3 linked regions of the Callithrix jacchus genome follow. The protein of the gene in region 3 binds, or shares a complex with, the protein of the main gene of each other region. Links are inferred from orthologs where the notes say so. Each region holds a gene or a part of one and is shown on either strand. Other genes may lie near its edges.

Region 1 (4,015 bases), on a different chromosome or scaffold from region 3:
TTTTTTTTGCAACGGAATTTTGCTCTTGTTGCCCAGGCTGCGTGAAGTGGCATGATCTCAGTTCACTGCAGCCTCCACCTGCTGGGTTCAAACAATTCTCCTGCCTCAGCCTCCCTAGTAGCTGGGATTATAGGCACCCGCCACTATACCAGCTAACTTTTTGTAGAGACGGGGTTTCACTATGTTGGCCAGACTAGTCTCAAACTCCTGACCTCAGGCGATCCACTTGCCTCAGCCTCCCAAAGTGATGGAATACAGGCATCAGCCACTGCACCCGGCTGTATTTTATTTTTCTTGTCTAACCTTTATTATACACTTTATCTTGGTTTTACTTTTGCTTTGCAAAAGCATGAGATTCTAGTTTTGACACTAATATTAATCCTAGTATTTGTGACCTGATCTCTAGCTTTCAGGATGCCAACCCGCCCCTGAAGGTTATTCACCAACACTTCAGTGGCAACAGCAACAAGTGGCACAGTTTTCAACTGTTCGACAGGTAAAGTGTCATATTTAATCTAATTAAGCCCCTGTTGGATTTATTTCTATTCCTAGACTGTAGATAGAAAAATAAAATTTATGATCCTAAAGTATACAGAATATTCATGAATTACCAAGTTATTATAATTGTTAGACATAATACAGTTTGAAACATTGTATAAGTTTTATTTATTTTGTTTATTTCAATAGTTTTGGGGAACAGGTGAGTTTTGGTTACATGGTTGAGTTCTTTTGTAGTGATTTCTGAGCTTTTGGTGCACTCATCACCCAAGCAGTGTACTCTTTACCCAATAAGTAGACTTTTATACTTCACCCCCTCCCACCCTTCCCATTTTCCAAGTTTTAGATGGTTAAAATTTTGTGCAGAAACTGATTTCTTTTCAGTTACCCATTTTTTGAAGAGTACTAACGTATAACTTTTCTTCCTTTAGAATGTGAACAAACATAGAAGTCACTGGAAATCACAACAGTTGGATAGTAATGTGACCATGGTATGTAAGTTTCTCAGTTTTAAGTTGTACAATATATACTTGATTGAAAGAAACTACATTTACTTGCAGTCTTTAAAGATTCACTTCCTATTCAGTGTTATTTTCATTCTTTTCAATATACCATTAATAGTAGCAATTCCATTACATTAGTAGCCTGAAAAGTATAGATTTTCATGACAGTTTTTTTTTTTTTTGAGACAGGGTCTTGCTGTATCTCCCAGGGTGAAGTGCAGTTGCACAATCACAGCTTGCTGCAGCCTCAACCTCCTGGGCTCAAGTGATCCTCCCACCTCAGCCTCCCAAGTAGCGTAAACTAAAGGCACATACCACCATGCCCATCTAATTTTTAAAATATTTTGTAGAGGCGGGGTCTCCCTTTATTATCCAGGCTGGTCTCTTACTCCTGGGCTCAAGAGATCCTCCTGCCTTAGCCTCCCAGAGTGCTAGATTACAAGCATCAGCTACTGTACCCAGCCTTTCATGTCAATTTTAATTCACAATATCTTGGGGGACTTTGGATAGGTGACTGTTAAGCTTCTACAAGTTTTTAAGGATTCTTCTAGGCATTTACTTTCTAGGAAATTAATACATTTTTAATATTTATAAAAAGATTTAATAAAGACTTAATGGATTTTCTTGATGAGGTGATAGTACCATGCAGTAAACCCACACATTTACAGAACTTGTAAATGATTCTGCTTCTACTTAATGTGATGAGTCTGCATCACAATTCCAGTGACATATAAGTAAAGCCTGTCTTGTATACTGTCATGCATATGTCCTACATTTTATCTTTAAATATAATTTTAAGCTCTTCACTAGATATATCAGGACTACCAAATGAAAAAAGGAGTTGGAAAGATGATACATTGTCTCAGGACAGTAGTTTTTAACCTTTTAGGGGATTTCGTATTTTTTTCTGAGGACCTAATGAAAGCTCTTTATCTTCAGAGGGGAAAAAATGCACCTATGCACAAAATTTTAGTTTCAGGTAGTTCATAGATTTCAGATTTTAGAAGCTTCCTGTAGACAGTGCTTCTTGATATCTTTTACGGGGTGATGCATTAGAATAAATGACTGCTTGCATATTCTTCCTGAAACCAGCCGAAAGCTGAGAGATTCAGTATATGGCATCTCTCTATTCTTCTGCATACCATTTGGAAGCTCTGCTCCAGGAAAAGTGTTAAGGGAAGTAACTTATCACTTGCCAAAGGACATTTAACTCATAAAAGGTATAGCTAGTCCTTCTATCAAAGAAGCATGTGCACATACACACACAAAAAGTATGCTTAGGGTTCAAACTCAAGGCTGTCTCTAAAGCCTTTGTGCCTTTGACTATGTAATGGTGCCTTCCTAGTCAGAAGGGTATATGTATGTAGTAGGGACTGGGACAGGTAGGTAAATATATTTTTTTCTTACTCAGTGGAACGGCTTTTGGGTGCATGCCCACTAATTAAAAAAGAAGCCACGGCCAGGCAAGGTGGCTCACACCTGTAATCCCAGCACTTTGAGAGGCTGAGGCAGGAGGATCCGGAGGTCAAGAGATTGAGACCATCCTGGCCAATATAGTGAAATCTTGTCTCTACTAAAAGTTCAAAAATTAGCCAGGCATGATGGCGCACACCTGTAGTCCCAGCTACTCGGGAGGCTGAGGCAACAGAATCACTTGAACCCGGGAGGCAGAGGTTGCAGTGAGCTGAGATCATGCACTCCAGCCTGGTGACAGAGCAAGACTCTGACTCAAAAAAAAAAAAAAAGCCACGTCAGTAATATGACTTGATAAAATTTTGTCAAAAATGGAAATTACCTAACATAATTGATTCAATAAACTATGGCCCATCAGAACAGTGGAATATTATGTAGCAATTATAGATGTTTATCATGGCAAATGTAAACATCATACACATAATAAAATGAAAATATTTTAAAGTACACTCTGGGCCAGGCACGATGGCTCATGCCTGTAATCCCAGCACTTGGGGAGGCTAAAGCAGGCCCATCACCTGTACTCAGGAGTTTAAGACCAGCCTAGACAACATGGCAAAACCCCATTTCTATTTAAATTATTTAAAAAATAAATAAAGTACACTCTGATGGAAACTGTGTGAAAACATAAATATTAATTGATCCAATAATTTATTAAGCAGGTATTATATTTAATAATCAGGATATTTAGTACTAACTGAAACAGAAACAACTTCTGACCTAATGGAATGATAGGAAAAGATAGATACTTTGTTCCAAGACAATAGGGTTTAACTTTTTAGTGTCTCATGATCATCCTGAGGTTTTGTTTTATTTTATTTTATTTTGAGATGGGGTTTCACTCTTATTGCCCCGACTGGAGTGCAATGGCATGATCTCGGCTCATTGTAACCTCTGCCTCCCAGGTTCAAGCAATCAGCCTCAGCCTCCCGAATAGCTGGAATTAGACGCGCCCACCACTGTACCTGGCTAATTTTGTATTTTTAGTAGAGATGAGGTGTCACCATATTGGCCAGGCTGGTCTCGAACTCCTGACCTCAGGTGATCCATGCTGAGGATTTAATGAAAGCTATTTATTCCCGGGGAGGGGGGAATGTACCAATGCAGAGTAATGTGCAAGGTGATAGGTACAAATAAAAGTTGTTTTGTTAAGGAGATTATATTGAGCTGAATGCTTCTCCCAACTAGTCCTGCTTTTTCTGTCTGGCAGCAGAGAGTAGATCTGTTTCTTCTTGGATTGGACAGCCCTTCAAACATGTCAAATATGTAATCATGTCTCTGTATATGAGATAAACATCCTTCATTCCATTAAGCATTCTTGGTGCATTTTTTCCCCCGTACTTGTTTCTGTCTTTATCATTCTCTTTTGGACACACCCTTATCTGTCAGTGTCCATTAGTCTGGTCCAAACTAAACACATCTTAGCTGGGCACAGTGGCTCACACTTGTATCCCAGCACTTTGGGAAGCCAAAGCAGAAGAATTGCTTGAGGCCAGGAGTTTGAGACCAGCCTGGTCAACATAGTTGAGACAACTATCTCT
Region 2 (3,287 bases), on a different chromosome or scaffold from region 3:
CTCAAATGTTAACTTTATTTGTGCTTAGGAAATGGAAAATGATTATGTAAATGACATTTAAAAAAAGACTACCTAGGCAGCACAATCTGGTCCTAATCATTTGAGAAGTCTATATTTGAAATGCATACCTGGAGGCCCAATTTTTAGAAATCTCATCACCTATTGCTCTTTATCACAAAAGCAAATTAAGCATTTTGAATTTTATATAAATGTAATAACTCTAACTTTGAGAGAAATAATTTATAATACTTTTCCTTCTTAACTCTGGCTCATATTAGAACTATCTAAGGAGCTTTTAACAAAAATGGCAGGTCTGGGCTCCACTCTCAGAGATTGATTTAAATGGCTGAAACCACTGCTTTAATATTTTGTATCTACAGTGACATAAAATGTTCATTGTTTAAGCAAGTCTTAACAGTATCAAAGCAAATAAAAATGTGAGCCAAATTCAATTATTTCAACAGAGAACCGTAGAAAAACACGTCAAAAAACTAAAAGGTGAAAAAAAAATTACTATTGTTCCCACAAATAATTCTCCATTTAGTTAGTCCTGTAACCAAATCGTCTCTTAGAACAGTTTTTTTTTTAAAAAATAACCTTACCTCTTTAAGTTTATTCCGAATTAAATTTGCCGTTGTATTCAATGAGTCATCATGCATATCCACTTTAGATATGTCTGGTAACAGAGGTCCAATCATAACCTCATTACTACTTGGGTTTGTTTCAAGAAAAGTTCCAAGTTTACGATCATCTTCTCGTCTTCTTTTGCGCTCCTGCAGTTGTGTTGTCCTAGGCATAAATCTGTCAACTGCCTCTGAAGGAATAATAGCCTTTCGTGCACCCTGGCAGTCTACTGAGTTTTTGAAAGGGTTTATCTGTGTTTTCTGCAAAGAGTCACTGTGGTTATAATGCTCCATTGTTTTATCATGGTTTCTACCATACTCAGAGGAGTTTGATGCTCTATCTACATGCTTCCCAGATGAACACATACATTTTGAGGAGAAATAACATAAAGGCAATTCACAGGAATATGGAAGATAAGGATATGAGTTCCCTGCAGAAGTGTTCAGAGCAGTTGTACAAAATCCAGACATCTCTGAGTGGAAGTCTTGTCTAAAATCCTCTGTGTCTTTATGCTCTGTAACCAATTTCTTCTTTGTCACATAATGGTCTTTTTATTACAATTTAAAAGGTGAGAGAAAGGAAAACAGAGGTAGTTTATTGTTTGCATCATTCAGAATCATATAATTTTAAAAATCACTTAAAAATGGTAACAAATTCTACACCAAAAAATCTATTTCTTGAGAAGGGAATATATTCATGTGGTTTAAAACCTAAAATGGATAAAAAGATATGTAGCATCAAGTGTCACCCTTTCCTTGCTCTCCATGGGCCTGGTTTCATCCCATAAGTAAGCGCTATTGTTCTTTATTTATCTGTTCAATATGCCTTACTTTGCTTCCTCCTACCTCCCATTCTTTTTCTCCCCACTAAAAAAGGTAACCTGTAATATGTACTTCTTCTGCACCTCTGTATTTTCCACTTCACTGTAGATCTTATATAGTTTTTCCATATCATTATATACAATCCTTTTTTTTTGCAATTTCAGAGTATTCCAGTCATGCTGCCTAGCCTGTGTTTGTTAGTTATTAAAGAAAGCAATATGTGTGGCTTACTTCTAGGGCTGGAAAGGACCTCTTCCCTGGTTTACTCTCCCAAAAGCAGACTAAAACATCAGTGGGGTGCGGAAGATGTGGTAAAGATGAAATTGGCTATCTGTTGATGATAGTTAATGTTAATACACGGGAGGTATGTTATCTTAGTTTTTCTACCTGTGTGTTTTGAAATTTCATTAATAGAAGTTTTTGAAAAGACCAAATATACAATTATGTGTAGATGCTAGAATGCTGCAGATAAAATAGAGCTTAACTAAAGTGTTCAAGGCCAAAAAAGTCATAGTTTAACAACAATGAATCTAATTCCGAGGGGGCAGGGCAAAAAGGTCTTAAGGGTAAGGGGAGCAAATAATGAAGATAATGCTAGGCCACCACTAACATTGAGATGATTAAAGCAGTTTAAAAGTAAGCTCTGGACAGGGAGTCCAAAGCTTGGGTTTTAATCCTTATTTTTGTCCTTAATTTATCTCTAGTAATATAGGCCAGTCACAAACTCTGAGACTCAGCTTCCTCACCAAGAAGTAGGACACAGGTCAGATAATGTCAAAGGTCTTCCTCCACACTAATATTTTATAATTTCCTTTCCGTTTTCTATTTTTTTTTTTTTTTTGTATATTTTATAATTTCCTTTGCCACACAAATATACAAATTTTCCTGGTGCTATTTACATATCTTACAAATTAATGTCTACAAATGACTGGGGATTCTCAACAGCTCTCTTGCCAGATTTCTGAGTAAGTTTTCCAAGAGTTTTCTCACTTTATTTCTCTCTACCACTATCTGGTAGAAGGGGCATGTGGGGCATTTATGCGGTTGCTTGGTCAAAAGTAGAACTTCTCCACGATTAGCAGTGACAATTAGTCTGCAAATCACAACTGCCCACTGCATTCTGGTCAAAGCCTTAATTCCTTAGCAGGGACACAAGGCCCTTCGTGATTTACTTCCTATCCACTATTCTAAACTTATCTGTCACTGAAACCTCTGGGCTTTGATTATATTGTATGAGTTAAAGTTTCTTAAATACATGATGCTCATTTATTCCTCTAAGCATTTAAACATCCTGCCTGGCTTGCCTTTCCATCTTTTCCTCTCCCTTCTAAGTAATGTCTACTTATCCTTCAAAATTCAGCCACTTCTAACAGACTGGATGAAGTCTTCTATGAACCAATATTTCTCCCTTCTCAACCCAGATTATGTAGTACGCTGCAGAGAACTCTGTGGTTTACACTTACTGAATACTGTGATGATTTACTTGCCTCTCTTCCCACTAGACTGGGAACTGCATGATGACACACTTGGCAGAGTGCCTGACACACAGAAGGCATTTAGCAATATGCTTTCCATACCTCTATTTTTAGTAGTTCTTACTACATATGCCTTTCGCACTGCTAGTTTTTTTCTAGTTTCTTCAACTGTTTCAAATTCTGGAGCATAGCACACATGAAGCAATCCACCGAAAAAACTCTGTTCATCCATTTTTCTCTTGGCTGTCCTGAATGGAAATACAAGATAGCATGGTTTTTTTAAATCCAGATTTACTTACAAATGAGAGCTTAACTAGTATACAATACCTGGAGCTAAAGCCAAAGTCCAGCTTTTGCAATGTGTATG
Region 3 (4,811 bases):
GGGTGAATACCTTCTGATAACCTGTTTGGTAAAAACTACACTGAAAATCACTGTCTTGTCAGTGTTCAACATTTATGTGAATAATAATATTTAACGTCTACTGAGCCTTTACAAGGCCAAGCCCCAGCCAGGCTGAGATGGTTCCGTTTTTGAAGCTGCATTCCTGCCCAGGAAACAATGGCCCTCAGTGGTTCAGACACTGCTTAAAACCGGCGATAGAGGCAAGTTCGAATGCAGTCCCTCTCCAAAGTCTTACCCACTGCTCCACAATGCCTCAATACCAAACATTTCACACTCAATTCCAAATCCATCTCTTCAGGGCTGCAAAAAAGCCTCACTTCCCAAAGGGCGAGTTCTCCAAACACTGCATTTAGCATTTCGGATCCGGGTGAGTTGAACTCACTAGGATTACGAGAAAAACTAGTGAAATTCAGATACGACCATTAACATCGAAAGTTTTAATCCGTGAAATACTGCTTACGCCCTTAAGTAATTTCAAATGCACATAAGATGGCCATGCGGGTCTCTGCTGGAGATGCAAAAGAAAGGTGAGCAAACTTAATCAATTATGGCTTTCAGATTTTAGTTAATGGAGGAAATAGCAAGTTTCCACTTGTCATAATTACAGGCATCACTATCATTCTATCATTATTCTAGCACTAATGAAAGACCTCAAGAACATATAAAGCAGCAGTAAAGGGTGCTAAGAAATGACAGTGTGGTCACGTCAACTTGCCCCATGTTACATCCAGGGTGTCAGGGTTCAAACCAGGTCTGTCTGGCTCTAGAACAATTGTTCTCTGCTACCTCCAAATCCTGTGTATATGTTTTCACTAAACTATTTTGTTGTTTATAGATCTGAATTGGAAGCTGTTGAGTACCCTGAACTTAGCAACTAACTGATATAAAGGTATCCCTTATAGAAATCTCAAACTAATTCTTCATTCCTTTCAGGAAGAAGAGTCTTAAGAATATGCATTATAAAACATGTTTCAATAAAGTTATTGAAAAAGAAAAAGAAAGGTGGGAAGTTGGCGGGGGGGCATAACACTGTATACTAGACGCAACCTGACATCGTTTGAAAGAAATTCTGTCCCCTACTCCCTTCGGTGAGATTCGCCGTCCCTAATCTAGTCTGGCTACCCCACACTCCCGATTCCTTTAAAAGGGGTTGAAATGGATGTTGCATTAAAGAAAACCCTCCTGCAGAAAGGACCTGAGGCAGAGACTCCCCTGAATTCTGGAACATGTTGGAAGAGTGAGAAAGGAACTCTGGGACTCCGAACTTATTCTCACGGGTGTAAAAGGACAGAGTAAATCCCCATTAGCCAAGCTGGGGAGAAGTCACATCCGCACATTCTAAAGGGCACACAGCCTCTCCCGGACCGTCCCTAGAAGAGGGGCAGCACATTTAGAAACACTGGCGGGCCTCTAGTCCTTGGCTGCCTCGCGGCGACCCTCAGAGCGGGTTTCCCAAGGCTCAAGCTCCTCTGGCAAGGCGCAAATCGACACCACTGCTGGTTGCTAGGAGATACTGCCCCGCCACCTCCTCCAATCAGCACGCATCTCTTTGCGTCCAATCACAAAGGCCAGAAGGGCCGTGGTGGGAGGTGAAAGGTCATACTCTTGTTTGGCGGCCATTTCTCTTGAAGCTCGGCGGTTCGGGACTTCGGGATCGGCTGGAGTCACGAGGGACGAGCGGCGGCCTGGTTGGCAGCGAATAGCCTGCAGCATTCGCCCGTGGTTACGATGGTAAGGAGAAAGAGAACCGGGGGAGAAGCGGGGAGAAAGAGGAGGGAAACCAGTCTCGCGGGGCCTGATGGTTGCTTCGCGCGTTTCTCATTCATCCGCGTGAGGCGCCGCGCACCCGGTCGCCAGCTCCTTTCACGCTGCCCTTGGGGTTTCTGAGGCGCGTGCTCCTCCCGTTGCCTTTCTGTTTCTAGGAGTGCCCGTGCTGTCTCCTCTTTGTTTGAATCCGAGCCTGGGGTATTTTTGGTTGGGGCTTCAGGGTCGGCGTAAAACTGAAAGAGAGTGCACTTCTCACTTCTCTCCAAAATTCACTTTAATTCCTTGAAAGTAATATTACAGCCATGCTCTAGATTAACTCAGTCGGGTGGGGAAGACAGACCTTAGTCAAAAACCAACAAATATGCAATTGCAAATAACAAGTGCTAAGAAGCATGTAGACCGGAGGCTGTGAGGGTGCACGTTAGACATTACAGGCTTAGTCAGAGATGGCCTCCCTAGGAGGTGGAATTTAACCAGAGACCTAAGTGTCCTGAAATACCACCCTTTAAAGAGCAGGAGGAGTGTACCGAGCACAGGGAATAGGAGCGTAAGACCTGCAGCCGGAAAGAAAGCTTGGTCAGTTGGAGAAATTGACAGAAAGGTACAGCCACTTGCAAGAATGGTGGCTTCTAATTCAATTAGAAGCCATTGAATCATTTTAAGCAGACATATGACATAATTTTATGTGCACTTTGAAAAATAACAGTTGCCGTGGTGGATAATAAATTGGAGAATGTAAACTGGAGATCCATTAGGTTATTGGAGTAGCACCATGCCAAGATCACTCCCAATATGCTTATCTTAGTTTAGTAGCCAAGTTTCTTAGTTCTGTTTTTTCTTTGACTGGTGAGTGAGCAGATTAGGGCCCAAAAAAGTCTGAATTCACTGGAGATGCTAATGGTTTGTTGAATAAACAAACATTAAGTGATTGCTGTAAAGTCAGATAGGACCTAGCCCTACCTTCCACAGTTAAAGACTGTCAAGTGTGATCTGCCCTCTGCTTCCTTCTGCAGTCTTATATTAGGGGCTTTGACTGACAATGCTGAATTCTTTGTATATCCCCAAAATCATGTTGTTCTCTTCCCTCCTTTTACTTAAGTTGCTACCCTTGCCTGGAGCAGCATCTGCCCCCCCCCCGGAAATAAACTCTTATCCTTTAAAACTGAGATATTACTTAAGGCAACCTTTCCTTTTCTGTGGATTGCTGTGGTACCCTTGTGCCTAGCATATCTCCTCTTACTACATTGCAGTATGCAATATAATTATTTGTATGTGAGGAGCTCCCCTCCCTATCTCCAGCTTCTTGACAGGGACTGTTACTTGTTTATTTATTTTTAAGAGACAAAGTGTTGCTCTTGCCCAGGCTGGAGTGCAGTGGCTTGATCATAGCTCACTGCAGCCTTGAACTCCTGGGTTCAAGCAGTTCCCCCACCTTATCCTCCCTAGTAGCTGGGACTACAAGTGTGTACCATCACACCTAATTATTTTTGGTAGGAATTGGGGGGGGTCTCCCTATGTTGCCTGGGTTGGTCTTGAACTCCTGGCTTCAGGTGATTTCCGTGCCTTGGCCTTCCAGAGTGCTGGAATTACAGACACGTGCCTGGCCAGCATTTTTTTTTTTTTAGTGGCTTTATCTTTGCTTCTTTCAAGCTCAGAACAGTGAGTGATGTAGGTAGTCAGTGTTATCTTAAGTGAATAGTGAGTATTTTGTTTTGATGGGTTAAAGGTGAAACTGGCTAACTGGATATTTAAATTTCCCTGGTACTCATCTTCAACAAATAAAAGTGAAAATTATGTTTTCTTCATTTGCACACCAGAAAATATTGGTGATTTGGTAGAAGGGATTTGGTGGTGGGAGGAAAAGAATTAATTGGATCCTTTTTTGTTCTTTGTGCAGAGTTTACCCCTTAATCCCAAACCTTTCCTCAATGGACTAACAGGAAAGCCAGTGATGGTGAAACTTAAGTGGGGGATGGAGTACAAGGGCTACCTGGTATCTGTAGATGGCTACATGAACATGCAGGTAAGCTGTAAAGGTTATAACATGGCATTGATTTTGCTTCACCTTATTCCTCAAAGGTTTAGTCTGACTAATAAGAATACATACAATTAAGTTGACAAATATATGGCAAAATTCAAAAATAAAGTCAAGGCCAGAGAGGATACCGTGATGTACTAGGTACAAGACATGGGCTTAAACCGGAATTCAGCCACAGATTTTATTCCTAGGAGTTAAAGTAAGAAGAGCTCAGACGTTCAATTCATAATAATACCATAAGGGAAACACGCTACTTTGCTGGAGAAAACAAAACTTTTACCATCATTTAGCCCTGAAAGAAAGTTTTCAAGTGAAATTTTTGAGTCTTTTAATGAATGCTAAAGGTACAACACCAAGCTATTAAAGAAATTCATTCCTTCAAGGGAAAGACAGATCTGCCAAAGGAATTGAACTGACTGTATGTCAGTTTCTGTAAATGATTTAGCCATGTGTTTTGGTAGGGTTTTTTGTAATTTTCTTTTTATTGTGGTCAAACATACATTAAAATTTTACCATTCTAACCATTTTTAAATGTGTAATTCAGTGGCATTAAGTATCTTCACACTGTTCTGCAACCATCACCACTATCCATTTCCAGAACTTTTTTTATCATCCCAAAGTGAAATTCTTTGCCCATTAAACAATAATTTTCCATTCCTTTCTCTACCTAACTAACCCCTGGTAACCACTATTCTACGTGTCTATGAACTGTGCATAATACCTCATATAAGTGGAATCGTATATTTATCCTTTTGTGTCTGGCTTGTTTTACTTAGCGTAGTGTTTTATTCAAGGTTCATCCATGTTGTAGCATGTGTCAGAATTCCATTCCTTTTTTAATTGAATAATATTTCATTATATGGATATACCACCTTCTGTTCCATTTGCCTCTTGGTGGATGCTGGGTTGCTTCCCTCTTTGGACTGTAGTAAATAATGCTGCTGTGAAGACGATTGTACAAATATCTGTTCAAGTCTTGTTTTCA

What was found. Proteins that work in one complex are often made in the same cells at the same time.
Region 1: SNRPF (region 3) and GEMIN2 share a complex: the UniProt entries of both Homo sapiens proteins name them as parts of the SMN-Sm complex. The link is inferred for Callithrix jacchus from reciprocal best matches to the Homo sapiens genes SNRPF and GEMIN2.
Region 2: SNRPF (region 3) and RBM48 share a complex: the UniProt entries of both Homo sapiens proteins name them as parts of the minor spliceosome. The link is inferred for Callithrix jacchus from reciprocal best matches to the Homo sapiens genes SNRPF and RBM48.

The regions. Positions count from the first base shown.
Region 1 is NC_133509.1:73,783,090-73,787,104, forward strand, and holds part of GEMIN2 (gem-associated protein 2), read left to right. Parts: intron 1-406; coding exon 407-496; intron 497-929; coding exon 930-989; intron 990-4,015. UniProt on the Homo sapiens protein: The SMN complex catalyzes the assembly of small nuclear ribonucleoproteins (snRNPs), the building blocks of the spliceosome, and thereby plays an important role in the splicing of cellular pre-mRNAs.
Region 2 is NC_133512.1:57,086,775-57,090,061, forward strand, and holds part of RBM48 (RNA-binding protein 48), read right to left. Parts: intron 3,169-3,287; coding exon 3,023-3,168; intron 1,172-3,022; coding exon 603-1,171; intron 1-602. UniProt on the Homo sapiens protein: As a component of the minor spliceosome, involved in the splicing of U12-type introns in pre-mRNAs.
Region 3 is NC_133510.1:98,938,797-98,943,607, forward strand, and holds the start of SNRPF (small nuclear ribonucleoprotein F), read left to right. Parts: upstream 1-1,620; 5' UTR 1,621-1,749; coding exon 1,750-1,752; intron 1,753-3,685; coding exon 3,686-3,811; intron 3,812-4,811. UniProt on the Homo sapiens protein: Plays a role in pre-mRNA splicing as a core component of the spliceosomal U1, U2, U4 and U5 small nuclear ribonucleoproteins (snRNPs), the building blocks of the spliceosome.